Nothobranchius furzeri: one gene and its partners. The protein of the gene in region 1 interacts with the protein of each later gene in a biochemical or structural test. Links are inferred from orthologs where the notes say so. Each region holds a gene or a part of one and is shown in the gene's direction. Other genes may lie near its edges.

What was found. The genes of interacting proteins can lie anywhere in the genome.
Region 2: of the proteins of srebf1 (region 1) and sirt1, one has a biochemical effect on the other in vitro, tested with the Homo sapiens proteins (2 studies listed by BioGRID, with this or other methods). The link is inferred for Nothobranchius furzeri from reciprocal best matches to the Homo sapiens genes SREBF1 and SIRT1.
Region 3: the proteins of srebf1 (region 1) and gsk3ba form a complex in vitro, tested with the Homo sapiens proteins (2 studies listed by BioGRID, with this or other methods). The link is inferred for Nothobranchius furzeri from reciprocal best matches to the Homo sapiens genes SREBF1 and GSK3B.
Region 4: the proteins of srebf1 (region 1) and med23 form a complex in vitro, tested with the Homo sapiens proteins (2 studies listed by BioGRID). The link is inferred for Nothobranchius furzeri from reciprocal best matches to the Homo sapiens genes SREBF1 and MED23.
Region 5: the proteins of srebf1 (region 1) and fbxw7 form a complex in vitro, tested with the Homo sapiens proteins (3 studies listed by BioGRID, with this or other methods). The link is inferred for Nothobranchius furzeri from reciprocal best matches to the Homo sapiens genes SREBF1 and FBXW7.

The regions. Positions count from the first base shown.
Region 1 is NC_091752.1:55,490,116-55,493,635, reverse strand, and holds part of srebf1 (sterol regulatory element-binding protein 1), read left to right. Parts: intron 1-2,553; coding exon 2,554-2,729; intron 2,730-2,816; coding exon 2,817-2,957; intron 2,958-3,032; coding exon 3,033-3,251; intron 3,252-3,344; coding exon 3,345-3,459; intron 3,460-3,520.
Region 2 is NC_091752.1:5,649,159-5,651,965, reverse strand, and holds part of sirt1 (NAD-dependent protein deacetylase sirtuin-1), read left to right. Parts: coding exon 1-63; intron 64-2,463; coding exon 2,464-2,611; intron 2,612-2,700; coding exon 2,701-2,780; intron 2,781-2,807. UniProt on the Homo sapiens protein: NAD-dependent protein deacetylase that links transcriptional regulation directly to intracellular energetics and participates in the coordination of several separated cellular functions such as cell cycle, response to DNA damage, metabolism, apoptosis and autophagy.
Region 3 is NC_091754.1:24,484,225-24,487,462, forward strand, and holds part of gsk3ba (glycogen synthase kinase-3 beta), read left to right. Parts: intron 1-26; coding exon 27-137; intron 138-391; coding exon 392-522; intron 523-1,370; coding exon 1,371-1,477; intron 1,478-1,561; coding exon 1,562-1,659; intron 1,660-1,744; coding exon 1,745-1,852; intron 1,853-3,203; coding exon 3,204-3,238. UniProt on the Homo sapiens protein: Constitutively active protein kinase that acts as a negative regulator in the hormonal control of glucose homeostasis, Wnt signaling and regulation of transcription factors and microtubules, by phosphorylating and inactivating glycogen synthase (GYS1 or GYS2), EIF2B, CTNNB1/beta-catenin, APC, AXIN1, DPYSL2/CRMP2, JUN, NFATC1/NFATC, MAPT/TAU and MACF1.
Region 4 is NC_091742.1:26,135,509-26,139,028, forward strand, and holds part of med23 (mediator of RNA polymerase II transcription subunit 23), read left to right. Parts: intron 1-552; coding exon 553-696; intron 697-883; coding exon 884-1,029; intron 1,030-1,103; coding exon 1,104-1,349; intron 1,350-1,417; coding exon 1,418-1,560; intron 1,561-2,348; coding exon 2,349-2,523; intron 2,524-2,595; coding exon 2,596-2,759; intron 2,760-2,872; coding exon 2,873-2,997; intron 2,998-3,104; coding exon 3,105-3,310; intron 3,311-3,398; coding exon 3,399-3,520. UniProt on the Homo sapiens protein: Required for transcriptional activation subsequent to the assembly of the pre-initiation complex. Component of the Mediator complex, a coactivator involved in the regulated transcription of nearly all RNA polymerase II-dependent genes.
Region 5 is NC_091747.1:80,739,341-80,742,860, reverse strand, and holds part of fbxw7 (F-box/WD repeat-containing protein 7), read left to right. Parts: intron 1-619; coding exon 620-702; intron 703-1,350; coding exon 1,351-1,492; intron 1,493-3,520. UniProt on the Homo sapiens protein: Substrate recognition component of a SCF (SKP1-CUL1-F-box protein) E3 ubiquitin-protein ligase complex which mediates the ubiquitination and subsequent proteasomal degradation of target proteins.

The DNA.
Region 1 (3,520 bases):
TGCTTCATCTCTAACAGCTACCACCCTGAATAAAGCTGAAACCTATTGTTGAAGCTATTATTGCAGCAGGTCTGGTGTTACTCACTTCCTGACTGTGTTTTGTTGCTAGTTTTCATAATATAACTGTAATTGTGGTTTAGATGGTATGAATGGTTTCATGTTTTGTACAGTTCTCTGAGGAACCTGTGTGCTGACCACCAGGAGTGGTTCTGCAGCAGAAACCAGGAGAACGGTTTCAAATCAAATCAAAGATACTTTATTGATCCCGGAGGGAAATTAGAGTTTCAGTACACACAATTCAGAGATCAGACATACATGGGCAAGACACATGACAAGAATTGGTGACTGTGGTCATTCGCAACCCTGAGTCGCGCTACCTTAATAGAGATAAGAGGGTTACATGAGGATTGGTTCAGGTGGAGGGAAAAAACGGCACTTCAGAGTTACCCTCCAGCAGGAGGGCAGCTTTGCTCTGCAAAAAACACCTCAAACATATATGCGACAGACTTCAGACATTACACAAACATGAGACTCCAATAGGAAGGTGGGGGGCTGGGATCCTGTTTCCCCCAATGAGAGCAGCCATCTACGGCGCTCATCTACTGTACAGTCACAGGTGGGAGGGAGATCTTGGGAGAAGCAAAGAGCTAGGGCTGTAGCGAAGCCTCGACGAAGTCGACGGCTCGATTCTAAAAATTTGTCGACGTCAGATCTGGAAGTCGACGCACCGCGCCCACTTGTTGCATCCCCAGGAGTTTGTAAATAGAGGAGGAATCTGCCTGTTTTTCCTCTAGTTCGCCCTCTTCTCCGCCTTCACTAACATCTCCGCCAAATACCGAAGACCCGGAACAACGTCCGTCCATTACTAGATTCCTTTCCTGTTTTGCCCATTCGTCTCCCGGCAACGGACAACAACTTCCGGGTCAGATGCGCTGCTTCGTCTCTATCGCAGATGTAGAAAATCACCGGGAGCGTTTCTCCCTTCATTAAGGAGCTTCTTTCAGACATTAGGAGAGCTGTTTTGGTGGTAGCAGTCTCTCCTCCGTGCTGGTCTGTTTGCTGCTGGGTGTTTTTGGTTTATTTAAACTTGGTAACTTGAACTTAATGTTGGTAAAGCTACTGTTAGCATCTTCGCTAACAGCTTCTTGCGTTTGGATAAGCTGTTACGTTTTGGTTTAGAGTTCATCTTTTTTGTGGTGTAGATCTCCCTTTCATTACATTTAGAGTGTTGTGGGTTTTCGGTTTAGTTCAAAATATCACCTTGAGTTTGGTTTAACCCGTAAGACCAGTCGCCTCACGCACATAAGTGACCAAAACAAAGCAGCATGGAGACACTCCGTCTTCTACCACCTCTCAGGCAGCAGCCTGCTCTCCCACGTTCTACACGTCACCAGAACATAACCAACCAACACAATAAAAGCAGTGTTATACAAAATGGAAGGCCTGTAGTGTTTATTCTCTTACAGAAACAATTTATCAATTTTTTGAGGAATTTATTAGAGATTTTTTGGTTTTTGTTAATTGTGCAATAGAAAAATAATCATTAGATAAATTTTCTAAATAGTCATTAGAATAGTCGACTATTCGATAAAATAATCGTCAGAATAATCGTTTTAAAAATAATCGTTTACCCCCAGCCCTACAAAGAGCACATTGACTCCTACAGATTTGGGGACTTCAGCCTGGCGAGGTCATCAATCAGAAGACGGGGGGGGGGGGGGGGGTGTTAGGTTTTCACAGCATCTGTCTGCATTCCTTCGTGGGGGTTTTATTTGCTCGCCGCTCAAGGCTACCAGGGCGTCAGATTCAGATAACACGACTTTGTTTGGGTCAGGCTGAGATAATTTTCCTCTCTCCCTTCAGTATTTAAACTGATCATTCCAGTCCTTCAGTGAAGCTAATTTTAGATTTTTAAACCTGTCCATTCCGTCCGTTGACTCTCTCCGAGATGACATCCATTTTGCGCACTAATACCGGTAACGCAGCTAGAACATTGTACAGCTTACGATTCACCTCGAGTAACGTCCCAGTCTGTGAGGTCTCCACACGGACGGTGCTTTCCGTGGGTCCGGGTCTCCCTCCAATCCTCCCGTCTTGCCAAATTTCCAGAAAACCAGATATCCTCCCACTCCAATCAGGAGAAATCCAGTGATCATCAGGCCGAATATCCACACGTCTTTGATATCCTCAATGGACAGCTGGCTGAGGCATATGATCTTCCACTCCCTCCAGGAATCCAAAATATACCCCACCGGGTGTGTCTCCTGTGGACATGTGGGAGCCCCCTGCTCCGTTCTCATTGTTGAAAAAATCTTATCGATCGCAGTGAATGACCAGTTTATCAGATCCATGGTTAGTAAAAATAGAGTTTTTCAGAAGAAATGCAGTGAAGCGCTCTGTGGGCAGACAGGACAAAGAGCCTTGAGAAAAAAAGATAAGGGAGCGAAAGAGAGAAGCGTCTGTACTCCTCTAGTGCCTTGAAGAGAATATGGGATGGTTAATATATGTATATATAAAACTGTAATTGTGGTTCTGCTTCTTCCCTGTTTGCAGTTGGCAGCCCCAGCAGCGTGAGCCTCCCCATCACCACTTTGTCGTCCTCCCCTCCCAGCGTCCAGCCTGTGGCTATTCAGACTCAGCTCCAGGCGCTGACCACAACCACCCCCATTTTGGCCACAACCACAAGCCCTCCAGCTCAGACTATCGCACCGCAGATGCAGCAAGTTCCTGTGAGTGGGTGAAGCCGACCAATTGGATGAATGGCGTGTGTGTGTGTGTGTGTGTTACTGATTTGTGGATATTTGCGTGTCTCTCAGGTGCTGCTGCAGCCCCAGTTCATCAAAGCCGAGTCCCTGCTGCTCACCACTCTGAAACCTGACCCGTGCATCGTCACAACCGTAGCCTCCCCCACGTCTCTGGCCACCACCAGCAGCCCTGTTCAGAGCACCTCCCTGCAGGTAGGCGTGCTTGGATTGAGACTCAAAAATGATGGCGTCTGATATGAGTTATAACTCTTCTTTATTCCTCTCTAGGCCTTTGTGGGCGGTGGCACCATCCTGACCACGGTACCTGTGATGGTGGATGCTGAAAAGATCCCAATCAACCGCATTGCCATCGCCGGCAAGCCAATGGGACAGCCTCACAAGGGGGAGAAGCGCACAGCTCACAATGCCATCGAGAAGCGTTATCGTTCTTCTATCAACGATAAAATAGTGGAGCTGAAGGACCTGGTGGCTGGAACGGACGCCAAGGTGGGAGACTGTTTATCATTTACACTTCTCAGTGTTCTCTGTTTATACCAGACTGCGTAGCAAAGGCCCAACTGAACGCGATCCTTTTTACAGTTGAACAAGTCGGCGGTTCTGAGGAAAGCCATCGACTACATCCGCTACCTGCAGCAGACCAACCAGAAACTCAAACAGGAGAACATGGCTCTCAAAATGGCCACGCAGAAAAACAGTAGGCGCCTTCTCCTGCAGTTGTTTTTGCCCCATAAGAGTATTTGACCTTTTGTGATGGG
Region 2 (2,807 bases), about 50 Mb from region 1:
CAGTCTATGTTTGATATCGAGTACTTCAGACGGGACCCTAGACCCTTTTTCAAGTTTGCTAAGGTTGGTTTGTGGTGTCTGCTGAGCTTTTCATGCAGGCTGAACATGAAGATAGTCTCCTACACCTGTCTCCTGCTTTAGCTTCTGATAGAAAACAAACGGTGAAACTCTAGGATTAGAAAAGCCTGACAGATCTACGTCACGCTGTCACTTAACATTCATGGACTCGCCCATCCTCACTCACGACGGGGAAGGCTGTTGTTGGTTTAGCGTCAAGGAAAAGGAAGCTAACAATTAGCATTAGCAACTCCACCACACAGCAAAACTCCTTTTAGGATTGTGTTACTTTTGGAGATTAAACATCAACATTGCAGAGCAGAGTCAGTGGTAGAGTCGCTTTGCTGTTAGCCAATCAGAGGCGAGATGTCCTAATATCAGGAGATAAGACTCCAAAACCTGCCATGTTTCTTCTCCTGCCGACTTTTCTGACCCCAGACAGCCGCACCAATTTTTTCCCCAGAGTACGACACTTAAATTCATTCCTACTGGCGACTACTGTAAATGCATTAAAGTACAAGTAGAGTTAACCATACATAAATATAAAAGTATGTATTGCTCTACACCCTCAGGTTTTGGCACAGTAAAAAAAGGTTTCACTGAAAACTTTAAGATGCCTCAAGTAATGAGTCAGAAAAGGGCCGGATGATCAAAAACAGACCCAGACGGGCTCCGTCAACAGGCCTTCCCCTCTCAGCACGTGACTTAAACATGGGAGGTGGAGGTTGTCCCAAATAAAGGTTACGTAGATCACTAGCATGGCAATATTTTAGTTTTTACAAGTTTTACAGAAATAAACAATGGTTGTTTGCAAAATTAGCAGAAAATTGATGAAATACAAGTCTGGTAACACGACTAACTTGTTTATCACAAAGTAATGACTTAAAATGACCAGGGGTCTCATTTATCAAACATTGGTAAATCCGTACTAAAACCGTACTTAAGCTCAACAAAAAAATGTACTTAAGCCAAGCAGGTTTGTGATCTATCAAACATGGAGTACACACAGCTGCACGCAATCTCCGCTTCATAAATCAGAGACTATCTAGAAAGGTTCTCAGCTGCATTTTAGTCACATCTCGCCCTCACCACGCCCACTTACTGCCATAAATGGTCAATGCAAAGTGCCTTGTGGATCTCATGCATATACATGAGCCGTTGCATATACATGAGCCGGCTTGTTGCAGCATTTCGATCATGACCGCAGATCAAGGAGGCGCTATTTCACAAGCAGAAGTTGAGGTACTTGTGGGTGAGGTGGAGAAATGAAAGGAAGTGCTTTTGCAAAACAAATAAGAGAAAATCCACAGAGTGGCACAGCGTTGCTGAAGCCGTCAATGTTGTGAGTTCTTCAGAGAGATCTGTGGCGGATATGAAAGAAATAGTCCAATCAGGATTCGATCCCCAGACTCAGGTGAGTCACGCTAACCAGTCATCCAAACAGAGATCTCCCCTGTTCAAGTAGCCAGGGTGCATGATCAATCGGGTCACAGTGACAGGACACACACACACCGTCACAGACGCATGACATTCTGTCTCAATCTGTCCCCCTGCTGATATTCTGCATTCCGTATTCTGTGCTTCAGGCTGTGTGTGTGCATGCATGTGTGTGCGTGTGTGCGTGTGGGGGGTCTTGTTCTGTGAGAAAACGAAGCAGTACCAGTGATAATGCTGCAGGATTTCATAATTGTATCTTCTCAGCAGCAGCGCTGCAGGTGCTCTCCATGTCCAACATGTGTGTAAGCCAGGTCCTTAGTCAACTTAAAGTTGCGCACATTTTTCTGCCAAGTTTTCTTTCATAAATCCCAAAGTTTGCGTGAAAAGTTGCTTACGCAGTTTTCCGACCCTGTTTCGTGCGTAAGCAAGCTTGATAAATGAGACCCCTGGGCTGCATTTAAAATGAGTGGTTTATTTATAGTTCACAATAATTATTCAAATCAATCAATAAGAATTTTTATTGCTATTCCTTTTTTCTATATCGTCCATTGGTCATCTTCCGTTGGTATTGAGATCAGTTTGGGCTAGGGATGCACCGATACCAGGAATCGATACCAGGAATCGATACCAGTGCAGTTGCTTGAAAACGGCTTTACTGTAAATTGTCGTTTCTGTTCACTTAATATTTTAGTTTTATGATGATTTCCATTCATATAGGTTACTTTTTATCTACCTCACAGTATTTTCCTGTTGAATGCAGAGAAGAAAATTTCATCTGTATTCCAAATCATTGCATTTTTTTGTGTGGGAGGGGTATCGGTATTGGCGAGTACTGAGATCCCAGTATCGGTTTGGAAAAAAGGGGGTATCGTTGCATCCCTAGTCTGGGCTGAACTTTTAAAAACCTGTTAAAGAAGCAAACGTGAATTTGTTTCAACTCTACTGCTAAATAAGTCTTCATTCCTGCAGGAGATCTACCCCGGTCAGTTCCAACCTTCACCCTGCCACAGGTTCATTTCGATGTTAGACAAGCAAGAGAAGCTGCTACGCAATTACACACAAAACATCGACACGTTGGAGCAAGTGGCTGGAGTTCAGAGGATCATCCAGTGTCACGGTGAGTTTTAGTTTGCATTTTGTTGTACATCTACGCCGCTGCCATAGCGCTAAATAATCATGTGTGTGTGTGTGTGTGTTTTATTTCAGGGTCCTTCGCAACTGCGTCCTGTCTTGTTTGTAAACAAAAAGTGGATTGTGAAGCTATAAGGGAAGATGTCTTTAATCAGGTACATTTTAAACTGGACCAACAGAAC
Region 3 (3,238 bases), on another chromosome or scaffold:
TCTTGTTTCTTTCTTATCCTTAACAGAAAGATGAAGTGTATCTAAATCTGGTTCTGGACTATGTCCCTGAGACGGTCTACAGAATGGCCAGACACTACAGCCGAGCCAAACAGACACTGCCCATGATTTATGTCAAGGTATTTAAGTGTGTGTGTGTGTGTGTTCCATGCCCAAACTATTAAAGAAAACTATTACAGTAACTGTTGGTATTTAAGTTAGAGTTTGTAAGTATAAAATGTGACCGAACCTCTAAATTTTTGTTCTTTTTATGACTATTTGTTTTTCTAACCATTATTTACTGTTAATATAATCCGATTTAATCTGAGTGTGAGAATATTCCTGTTGTTTAGAACATTTTCTAACCCACTTTGGTGTGTTCTCGCCTGTGTAGTTGTACATGTACCAGCTGTTCAGGAGTCTGGCTTACATCCACTCATTTGGAATCTGCCATCGGGACATCAAACCCCAGAATCTGCTGCTTGATCCAGAGACGGCTGTACTGAAGCTCTGCGACTTTGGCAGGTGAGACGCTGATTTATGAACACAGTAGAAAAGAGACCCTGCTGTTTGTTGAGATGATTAAAGCATTTTGTTTATTTCTGATGTCTCTACTGCAGTTACAGGTGTGCAAACCGGACAATTTTTTAATTAATATTTTTGATTTTAATCGTTCACTCTTGAGTTTTTCATACAGGCTGAACATGAAAAAGGTCTCCTGCTTTAGCTTCTGGTAGAAAATAGAAGGTGAAACTCTAGGATTTGAAAAGCCTGGCAGATCTATGTCACACTGTCACTTAATATTCATGGACTCGTTTCGCTACAGTGCGTCGTCCGTGACTGCGGGGGTGGGGATGGACGCTTGGCCTGGCTAAATCGCTGGGGGGAACCCTGGAAATCATTCTCTATTGATCTTACACATTCACAAAGCCAGTTCTTTTATAAGCTAAATAAATTCAAGATACAGCAAACTATACCCATGGTGGATCAATACAGTCAGGGCTGCTAACTCACGCATTAAGCATAAGACAAATGCATTTGACTGTCTTCACGCGCTCTCATGCCACACCTCTGATTTCTCACACTGATGCATAATAAAAGTTCATCTATCTGTTGCATCGCGCTACTGTACACGCTCCCCTACAGCATGTTTATTTGACTCCTGTGGGGCAAATTTGGCTCTATTATAAAAAATAGAAAAAAGGTCTGGAATCTTAAAAACAACTACGTTTAAAAGCCAGTTAATGTTCAATAAATTTCTATCAACTCTAATTAAAGATTGCGTTAAATAATTCGGATCTCTATTTCAGTCACAAAAATCCTGATCAGCATTTTTGCCATCATATAATAAATGTTTTGATCTCTGTGTGCAGTGCGAAGCAGCTGGTCCGTGGAGAACCTAACGTGTCCTACATCTGCTCCCGCTACTATCGGGCCCCTGAACTCATCTTTGGGGCCACTGACTACACCTCCAGCATAGGTAGGCTCCCCCCTCCAGTGGGAATGTGTGTCTGTTCTTCTGTTTCTGGTGTCTGACTTGTTTTTGACCTGCCTGCTCCTGCAGATGTGTGGTCAGCTGGCTGCGTGCTGGCAGAGCTGTTGCTAGGACAACCAATCTTCCCTGGCGACAGTGGTGTGGATCAATTGGTTGAAATAATTAAGGTAACCTGACCTCTTTTCCCTTTTGTGAGTTATTGTAGTTTTGCAAACAGCTTGTCGAGATTGTTGGTTGTTCCTGTTTTCTCAGGTTCTCGGAACCCCGACCCGAGAGCAAATACGCGAGATGAACCCCAACTACACTGAGTTCAAATTCCCCCAGATTAAGGCACATCCTTGGACTAAGGTGAGTCAACAGGTACAAGAGCACTTTTACTTTATAGTTCCTCTCATGATTCATTTCACTGTTGCTGTCTTTGCTTCATCATCATCATCATCTTCATCCAGATTGAATCAATCAATGTTGTTTAAAAAGCTTCGCTTTGACTTTTTAGACTCAGTGGGAAAAAAAAAATTCACAGAAATCTGTGATCCGTGTCTAGGCAGTACTATCCTGCTAATCTGCTTAAAAGCCAAGTTCACCTCTATTTCCTGCATCAACTTCTGATCGAAAATAGACGGGACAACACTCGGATTAGAAAAGCCAGTGACCTTAGCACATCATAATGTCAAATTGGCATTCATGGACTCGCCCATCTTGGCTCCTGACTGGAAAGGCTGTTGCTGATTTAGCGTCCAGGAAACAGCAGAGTGCCTCTCTGCTTGTAGAAGCTAACAGTTAGCATTAGCAGCTCCACCACATTAGAACTCCTTCAGGCGTGTTTTATTTATGGAGATAAATCATCAATGTTGCAGAGCAAATGGAGGAGGTGGTAGTCTTGTTGCTGTTAGCCAATTAGAAGCAAGATGTCAGAAAATCAGCAAATGAGACTCCCAAGTCCTGCCGTCTGAAGCTCAAGTTCAACGTGGCTCACTTCTAGCTCCTGAAACAGGAGCGCCAAAGCCTTTTCCCCACAGAAATGTACTCACAAACCATTTTTTACTTGTTATTTTTGAGTTAGATCGGTCACACTGAGTTTATCATGCAGGTTAAACGTTAGAATAGTCTTCTACCCCTATTTCCTGCATTAGTCGGGAATAGAAAATAGATGGAGAAATGCTTAGGTTAGAAAAGCCAATCAGATCCACGTCACACTGAAAATTAGCAATTATAGACTCACCCATCTTGGCTCCTGACGGAGAAGGCTGTTGTTGTTTTAGCGTCCAGGAGAGAGTAGAGCATATTTTGGCTAGTAGAAGCTAACCATTAGCATTAGCAACTTCACAACTTGACAGAACTCCTCCTGACTTGTGTTATTTGTGGAGATAAAACATCACCATTGCAGAGGAAATGAAGGAGGTGGTAGAGTCGCGTTGCTGTTAGCCAGTCAGGTGAGATGTGCAGGTATCAGTAAGAGAGACACCAAATCCTGCCGTCATCTGCTCTGGCTAACGTCTAGCTCCTGAAACAGGAGTGTCAGAGCTTTTATCACACAGATTAACTAACATGGCATTCGTTTTTACTAGAGACTATTGCAAATGTGTTGGAAAAAAATAAATGAACTTTGTTTCTAGGCTTTTACATGTTGACAAATGTGTTAGCTGTCCTCAAATACCTTTCGTCGAGCAACAGTCATCTTGTTGATTTGTGTCTGTAATTTGTCGTTCAGGTCTTCCGGCCTCGCACACCTCCAGAGGCCATCGC
Region 4 (3,520 bases), on another chromosome or scaffold:
ACCTGGGTTTGATTCTGGGTGTGAACATAGTTTATTTAGAGTTTCTTTTTTACATTAATGGTATATTTTTTACAGTAAGATGCCCAAATTTTTATTTGAGACTCGCCGAACGGCATTGAATTCACAGATAAAAAAGATGTGGGTTCAACTTTCATTTTGGAACAATTTTTCAAGCAAGGGAAGGGAATGATCTGAGCATGCAGGAGGACTGACCCATCATAAACCTTTGTCGGCTGTGCTGAAGAGAAAGGTACAGAACCAAATTATTTAATTAATTAGCTGCGCGTTCTCCTGTCCTCTGTCCTCTGGGCCACACACACACACACACACACAGACACACACACACACACACAGACACACACACACACGCGCGCGCGCGTGCACGTGCTGTCTCAGCTGTTATTTTCGTTAAGGAGTGTGCACGTACACCATCGTGCATGAGCCTACCATTGAAGCTTCTGTTACGCTTTTGGCCTGAGGGGGCAATAGCGAGCATAAACATTCAAAAGTCCGTAAAGTCCCTTTAATAAAGCTGATATTCTTTTTCCTCAGCTTGCAGGCCGAGGCCTAATAAAAGGGAGGGACCACCTGATGTGGGTCCTGCTGCAGTTTATATCTGGCAGCATTCAGAAAAATGCACTGGCTGACTTCCTGCCGGTCATGAAGCTTTTTGATCTGCTGTACCCTGAAAAAGAGGTAACATGAAGACACGATCGCTGTTATTTGTACCAAAAAGACTTCAGTTTGCTCTTTGTCTGGCTGCTTTGAAATAAAAATATTAATTTAATATTAATTTAACCATTTTAACTAATAATTGTTGTATTTCTCATCATTACTTTAGTCAGTAATGCAGACGATACCTAAACTGTCTGTCCCTCTGCAGTGCATCCAGGTTCCTGACATTAACAAGCCCCAGTCCACCCACTCCTTTGCCATGACCTGCATCTGGATCCATCTGAACCGCAAAGCTCAGAATGACAACTCCAAATTGCAGATACCAATCCCACACTCTCTGAAACTCCACCACGAGTAAAAATCTGGAACATTGCCTTAAATGACTAAAATCACCCTTTTATCTAGTTAATTCTGTCTTTGGGTTTTAGGTTCCTCCAGCAGTCTCTTCGTAACAAAACCCTGGGCATGTCCGACTATAAAATCGCCCTGCTGTGTAACGCTTATAGCACAAACTCTGAGTGCTTCACCCTGCCTATGGGGGTCCTGGTGGAGACCATTTATGGAAACGGATCTGTAAGGATCAACCTGCCTGGAACCAGCTGCATGGCGTCGGGATCCATCACCCCGCTGCCCATGAATCTGTTGGATTCCATCACTGTGCATGCTAAGATGAGGTAGGACAAGAAACTTAAGTTACTTCAGCTGTTTTTGTTTAAAACTTTCACTTCCTGTTTGTCTTCAGTCTGATCCACAGCATCGCCACACGTGTGATCAAGCTGGCCCACACCAAGTCCAGCCTGGCCTTGGCCCCCGCACTGGTGGAGACATACAGCCGACTGCTGGTCTACATGGAGATCGAGTCACTGGGCATCAAAGGATTCATCAGTGGGTTTACTTAGGTTGATCCTTGTTGATAGAACACTTGAAGTGAGCTCTGAGATTTAGCTCATAACATATCTCGTCATCGACTTCCTCCGCTTATCCGGGTCCGGGTCGTGGGGGCAGCATCCCAACTAGGGAGCTCCAGACCGTCCTCTCCCCGGCCACCTCCACCAGCTCCTCCGGCAGGACCCCAAGGCGTTCCCGGACCAGATTGGAGATGTAACCTCTCCAACGTGTCCTGGGTCGACCCGGGGGCCTCCTGCTGGCAGGACATGCCCGAAACACCTCCCCAGGGAGGCGTCCAGGAGGCATCCTGACCAGATGCCCAAACCACCTCAACTGACTCCTTTCGATCCGGAGGAGCAGCGGTTCTACTCCGAGTCCCTCCCGAATGTCCGAGCTCCTCAACCTATCTCTAAGGCTGAGCCCGGCCACCCTACGGAGGAAACTCAATTCAGCCGCTTGTATCCGCGATCTCGTTCTTTCGGTCATTACCCAAAGCTCATGACCGTAGGTGAGGATTGGGACTTAGATCGACCGGTAAATCGAGAGCCTGGCTTTCTGGCTCAGCTCCCTCTTCCCCACGACAGATCGGCTCAGCGTCCGCATCACTGCAGACGCCGAACCAATTCGCCTGTCGATCTCCCGATCCCTCCTACCCTCACTCGTGAACAATACCCCGAGATACTTAAACTCCTCCCCTTGAGGTAGGACCCCTCCCCCGACCCGGAGTTGGCAGGCACATATCTCATTCATCATAAATAATCTGATTAACCACCTCTTCACTTCAGGCCAGCTGTTGCCCAACGTGTTTAAGTCTCACGCGTGGGGAATCCTGCACACGCTGCTGGAGATGTTCAGCTACAGGATGCACCACGTCCAGCCGCACTACAGAATCCAGCTGCTGAGTCATCTGCACAGCCTGTCCGCGGTACCGCAGACCAACCAGAACCAGCTGCACCTGTGGTAACTCTGCATCTCGAGACATCGCAAGCTGTTCCTATGACCTAGTTAACAGATTTCTCGTCTCCTTCTCAGCGTTGAGAGCACGGCTCTGAGGCTGATCACAGCTTTGGGGAGTTCAGAGGTACAACCTCAGTTCACCCGCTTCCTCAACGACCCGAAGACGGTTCTGTCAGCTGAATCGGAGGAGCTGAACCGAGCCTTGATCCTCACTCTGGCTCGAGCCACACATGTCACCGGTACCTCTTAGACAGGATTTGCATTTACTCACATTTGGTTTAATTTACTGCCTTTTTAAATAATAATAATAGAATCAGGTGTTTGAGTCTCTGTGCTGGTTTGTCTGTATGAGACTTTTTCACAGGGTCTGATTCCATCCATGGGACTTGGTGTAAGGACATCCTCCAGACCATCATGAACTTCACACCTCACAACTGGGCCTCACACACTCTGTCCTGCTTCCCTGCTCCGCTGCAGGTGCAGAAGGTTTCCCCCTCAACAAACAGGGCGGGACAAAAGTGAATAAATGAATTATTAAATTAAACAACTTGTTGGGTTAACTTCAGCACCTGTGTGTGTTTCAGGCGTTCTTTAAACAGAACAACGTTCCTCAGGAGTCTCGTTTCAACCTGAAGAAAAACGTGGAAGAAGAGTACAGGAAGTGGAAGTCGATGGCCAACGAGAACGACATCATCACCCACTTCTCCATGCAGGGCTCTCCTCCCCTCTTCCTGTGTCTGCTGTGGAAGATGCTGCTGGAGACCGACCACATCAACCAGATAGGCTTCAGGTCCGCTCTGATCTTTGCTGCTTTTAAATCCAAACTTGTCTAGGCTCACTTCGTCACTCTTTTTGGTTTTTTTTCTCCTCTTCATCAGGGTGTTGGAGCGAATTGGAGCTCGCGCTCTGGTGGCTCACGTCCGTACCTTCGCCGACTTCCTCGTTTATGAATTTTCAACGTCTGCAGGTGGACAGCAACTCAACAAGTGCATTGAAATCC
Region 5 (3,520 bases), on another chromosome or scaffold:
GAGGAAGAATAATAAACCCACTTGCTTTTGTTTTGTTTGGGATGAAGCACAGAGTTAAAAGTGCACCTTGTACCCTTTTTTGTTAGACGTCTCATATTTTGTGGTTGTGGTGTGTGTGCACGGACACGCTGTACTCCTGGAATTTGGGTGTGAATGTGTTTGCCTCTGGTTATTATTGTGTGTCTGGTTGCCCGGGGATCACCGGTCTTGTGCTTATCTTGTTTGAGATGAAGACAAACAGAGTTAGTCACCTACTTTGGCTGCTGTCTCACATTATAGAACTTTTTGTCTACAGATGGATTATGTTAGTTTAGAGCGAGGTGGGAAACTGAAATGTCACAAGAGATTTCTTATTTGCATGATGTAAATTCCCATTTGTTGTATTTGAATATGTAAAACATCACTTTTAGTGTTCGTCTGTAGTATTTAGAAGCAACGCTCCGCCTCTGCTTTTGTCTTTGAAAGCCTCCCTGACCCATGTCTGTCTTAAATTAGATTTCCAAACTCTGGCTTTGTCCAAGCACAGTGAAATATTCTCTGGATCTAAAATGAAGGATTATAGACTTTAGCTTGTGTTTGATTTCCAACATTTTAAAATTCTCTGTCCCATCTCCCTCAGATGAAGAGAAAGTTGGACCATGGCCCCGAGGTCCGATCGTTCCCTTCAGGAAAAAAACCCTGCAAAGGCTCAGAGTACCCAAGGTACAGCTACACATCCTGCTGCTGATTTTTCTGTGCACTGTGTTTCTCATGCACCACACGCACTACATGAACTTCTGATTAGGCCAAATAAAAAATATCAAGTGTTTCAAACAGAGGTGCGGCCTACACCGTCAAACAGGCGGGTGCTGTAGATCCAGATGTTTCTCTCACTCTGAATATTTAATGTTCACATGTAGCACCATTAAAATTCTGACTGAACACAGCCACTTAAGTGTAAATGTTGCCATGTAACTGGCCCCCTCTCAGCTTCCTCTCCCATTAAAAATGAATCGATAATGAAATCGACCCCAAGCACCCATTTGGCTGCCAGCAGGCTAAACCCAAAGCCTTAAGAGGGCCTGCAGGGTAGTTTCTGCTACTGCCCTGCTATTAAAAAGGTACACCCGGTCCTTTTGAAGTCCTGCACCGCTGACATCAGTGTATTCTGGACATTTTGACGCTAGTCTGTGTATATCTATGTGTCTGAGCGAAAAGGTCTTTGTGAAGGTTTTAGATGAAACTCTTGAGTTAAAACAGCCTTTTAAAAGCATTGATTCCGTTTTCTGAATACTTTGGACAATGGTGGGTTGTCTCTTCTATCGTTGTTGATTATTTTAAGGTGTCTTGTGTTTTGTCCCTAAATTACAGCCCAACAGGTATTGTCCCATGTCCCGCAACACCCACCACATTCGGCCACATCAGAGCAGCCAATGGCCAGGGGCAGCAGAGGCGACGCATCACCTCAATCCAGCCACCTTCGGGTCTCCAGGAATGGCTCCGAACATTTCAGGTGAGCACAGAGGAACTGGACAAGTCCTTCTTGAAAGACGATGAACCTCTGAGCTAAAAGCAGCTTTCTGTCTGACCACAGCGTCTCAGAGACAACTGCTGCCTTGTTGCTGTAGGCTCAGTAGTGTGTGGTTTGGATCAACCGTACCTATTCAGTTATTTTAGGCCACTTTAGTTATCAATGAGTCAGGATCACTGTCTGTTGTCTGTATGATTATTCTTATATTTGAATAATAAATATTTGTCTTGAACTCTAATAACTTCAGGCCTGCAGGAAATGGGGTCTAATTTAAACATATTAGCCGTGATGATCTTGATTTTTATATAATGAGCTGCTACGGATTTCATTACCTAAGAGAGTTTAAACGTATTATCTCTGAGTGGCTGGCTGAACCCACGACACCTGGGTGTTTGTTTTACATGTATTAGTGTTGAGGCCTGACCAACACGAGCTCCAGGCAGCCAAACACCAGAACTATACAAGCACGGCACCGCGACCAGAGTCGTATTTGGATTATAACATTAATAAAATATCAGTACAACCAGAAGAGTGTCTGAACCTTGGCTGATAAGGGTCAAGCAGAGATTAGAACAGGGCTCTTCTATAAGCTGCCGCGGTCCGGTGTGAGTGGACTGAAGGGAGGGAGGTAAACGCAGCCAAACAGCGTAGAGATCTTTAAGCTTAAAGAACGCCTCATCAAGAATGTCTGGCTTGTTAGAGACATTGAATAATGGTTGAAAACTTTTGCTCAATCCTATTCACGAGTAAAGAAAAACAAAATTTCACTTTACAGTAGTAGCCGGGCTGATTAGTGAGCAATACGCATTTTCGACTGAGGAATGAAATGAGTTTGGAACGTCAGCGCCCTGAAAGAGACGTTTTCAATCACTGGTGGCTCCAAAAGACGTGGCACCTTCTTTTGTTTGTTTTATTAAAATAGTTGCATCACTTGTGACTTCAAACAGTCAAATAAATACTCAGAAGAAAAGGGAAAAGTGATTATTTTATAGTTTCTCTTTTTGAAGCTGCGCCAAACTTAAAAAAACAGGAAAATGAAGGAGTGCTTTCTAATGAGAGATGGTGGTGGGAACTGTGGAAAGGCCTGCCAGTTGCAGAAAAGTGTGTTTTCTGTCTGATATTAGGTTTATGAGGTGCATTATATTGATTTAAAACAGACAGATTGGCATCAAGCTTTTCTTTCTTTGTTTTTTTTTTTTTTATTGTGCAGAAAAATAGATGAAAAACCTTCAAGAAATCCACTTCGACTTAGACTCTGATGGCATTTTGGAGGTCACAGTGTGAAAAAAGCCTCGAAGCTTTGCAAGACAACAGTTCTCATCTCAGATTAAAGCTGGCGAACCTGGAGTGTTAAAGATTCTGTTTGAACTTTTAAAATCAATGGCAGAAAGTTGATGTAACACGTATGCACATGTTACACAGGCCTCCGTTAGGGAGGAGGCTTCTCAACCTCCTTATTACCTTCAGAACCAACATCTCTAGCTAAACCTTTTAGCTGCCAAATTACAGGTGGCATGCCAAAATTTGCACCCTGCTTCGTGGCCTGTAATCATTGTTAGAGGTTAGAGCTCCACGGAGCAAAACAACTACAGCTGCTGAGATCAACAAGGAGTTGGGGATACCATTCAGCTGCAACACTAAATGCTGGAGCTGAAGTAGTGATCCCACAGAGTTCCCCCAAAGGTCAGCTCCAAATGTTCAACTTCCTCTGCTTGATGTGTGAGCTGAAGCACGCAGGTGCCTCGAGCGGCTCCGCAGCTGAAAACGCCTGACTGTAAGTGTGAGACGGGGAGGTGTTCCTGTCAGAGATGGCAGTGAGCTGGAACCATCCCATAATGCCCCGGTTCTGTTTTCATTTCACTTGTACAGGTTTACCGTCTGGGTGTGGCAGTGCAGAGGTGGGTGTGCAATGGTGATGGTGCTGTTGAGCAGCAACGTTTCTGCTTCTGTCCTCGGGTTCCAGTGTGACCACTTTTTCAGTCAAAAGAGAAATAAAAATAAAAGAAACTG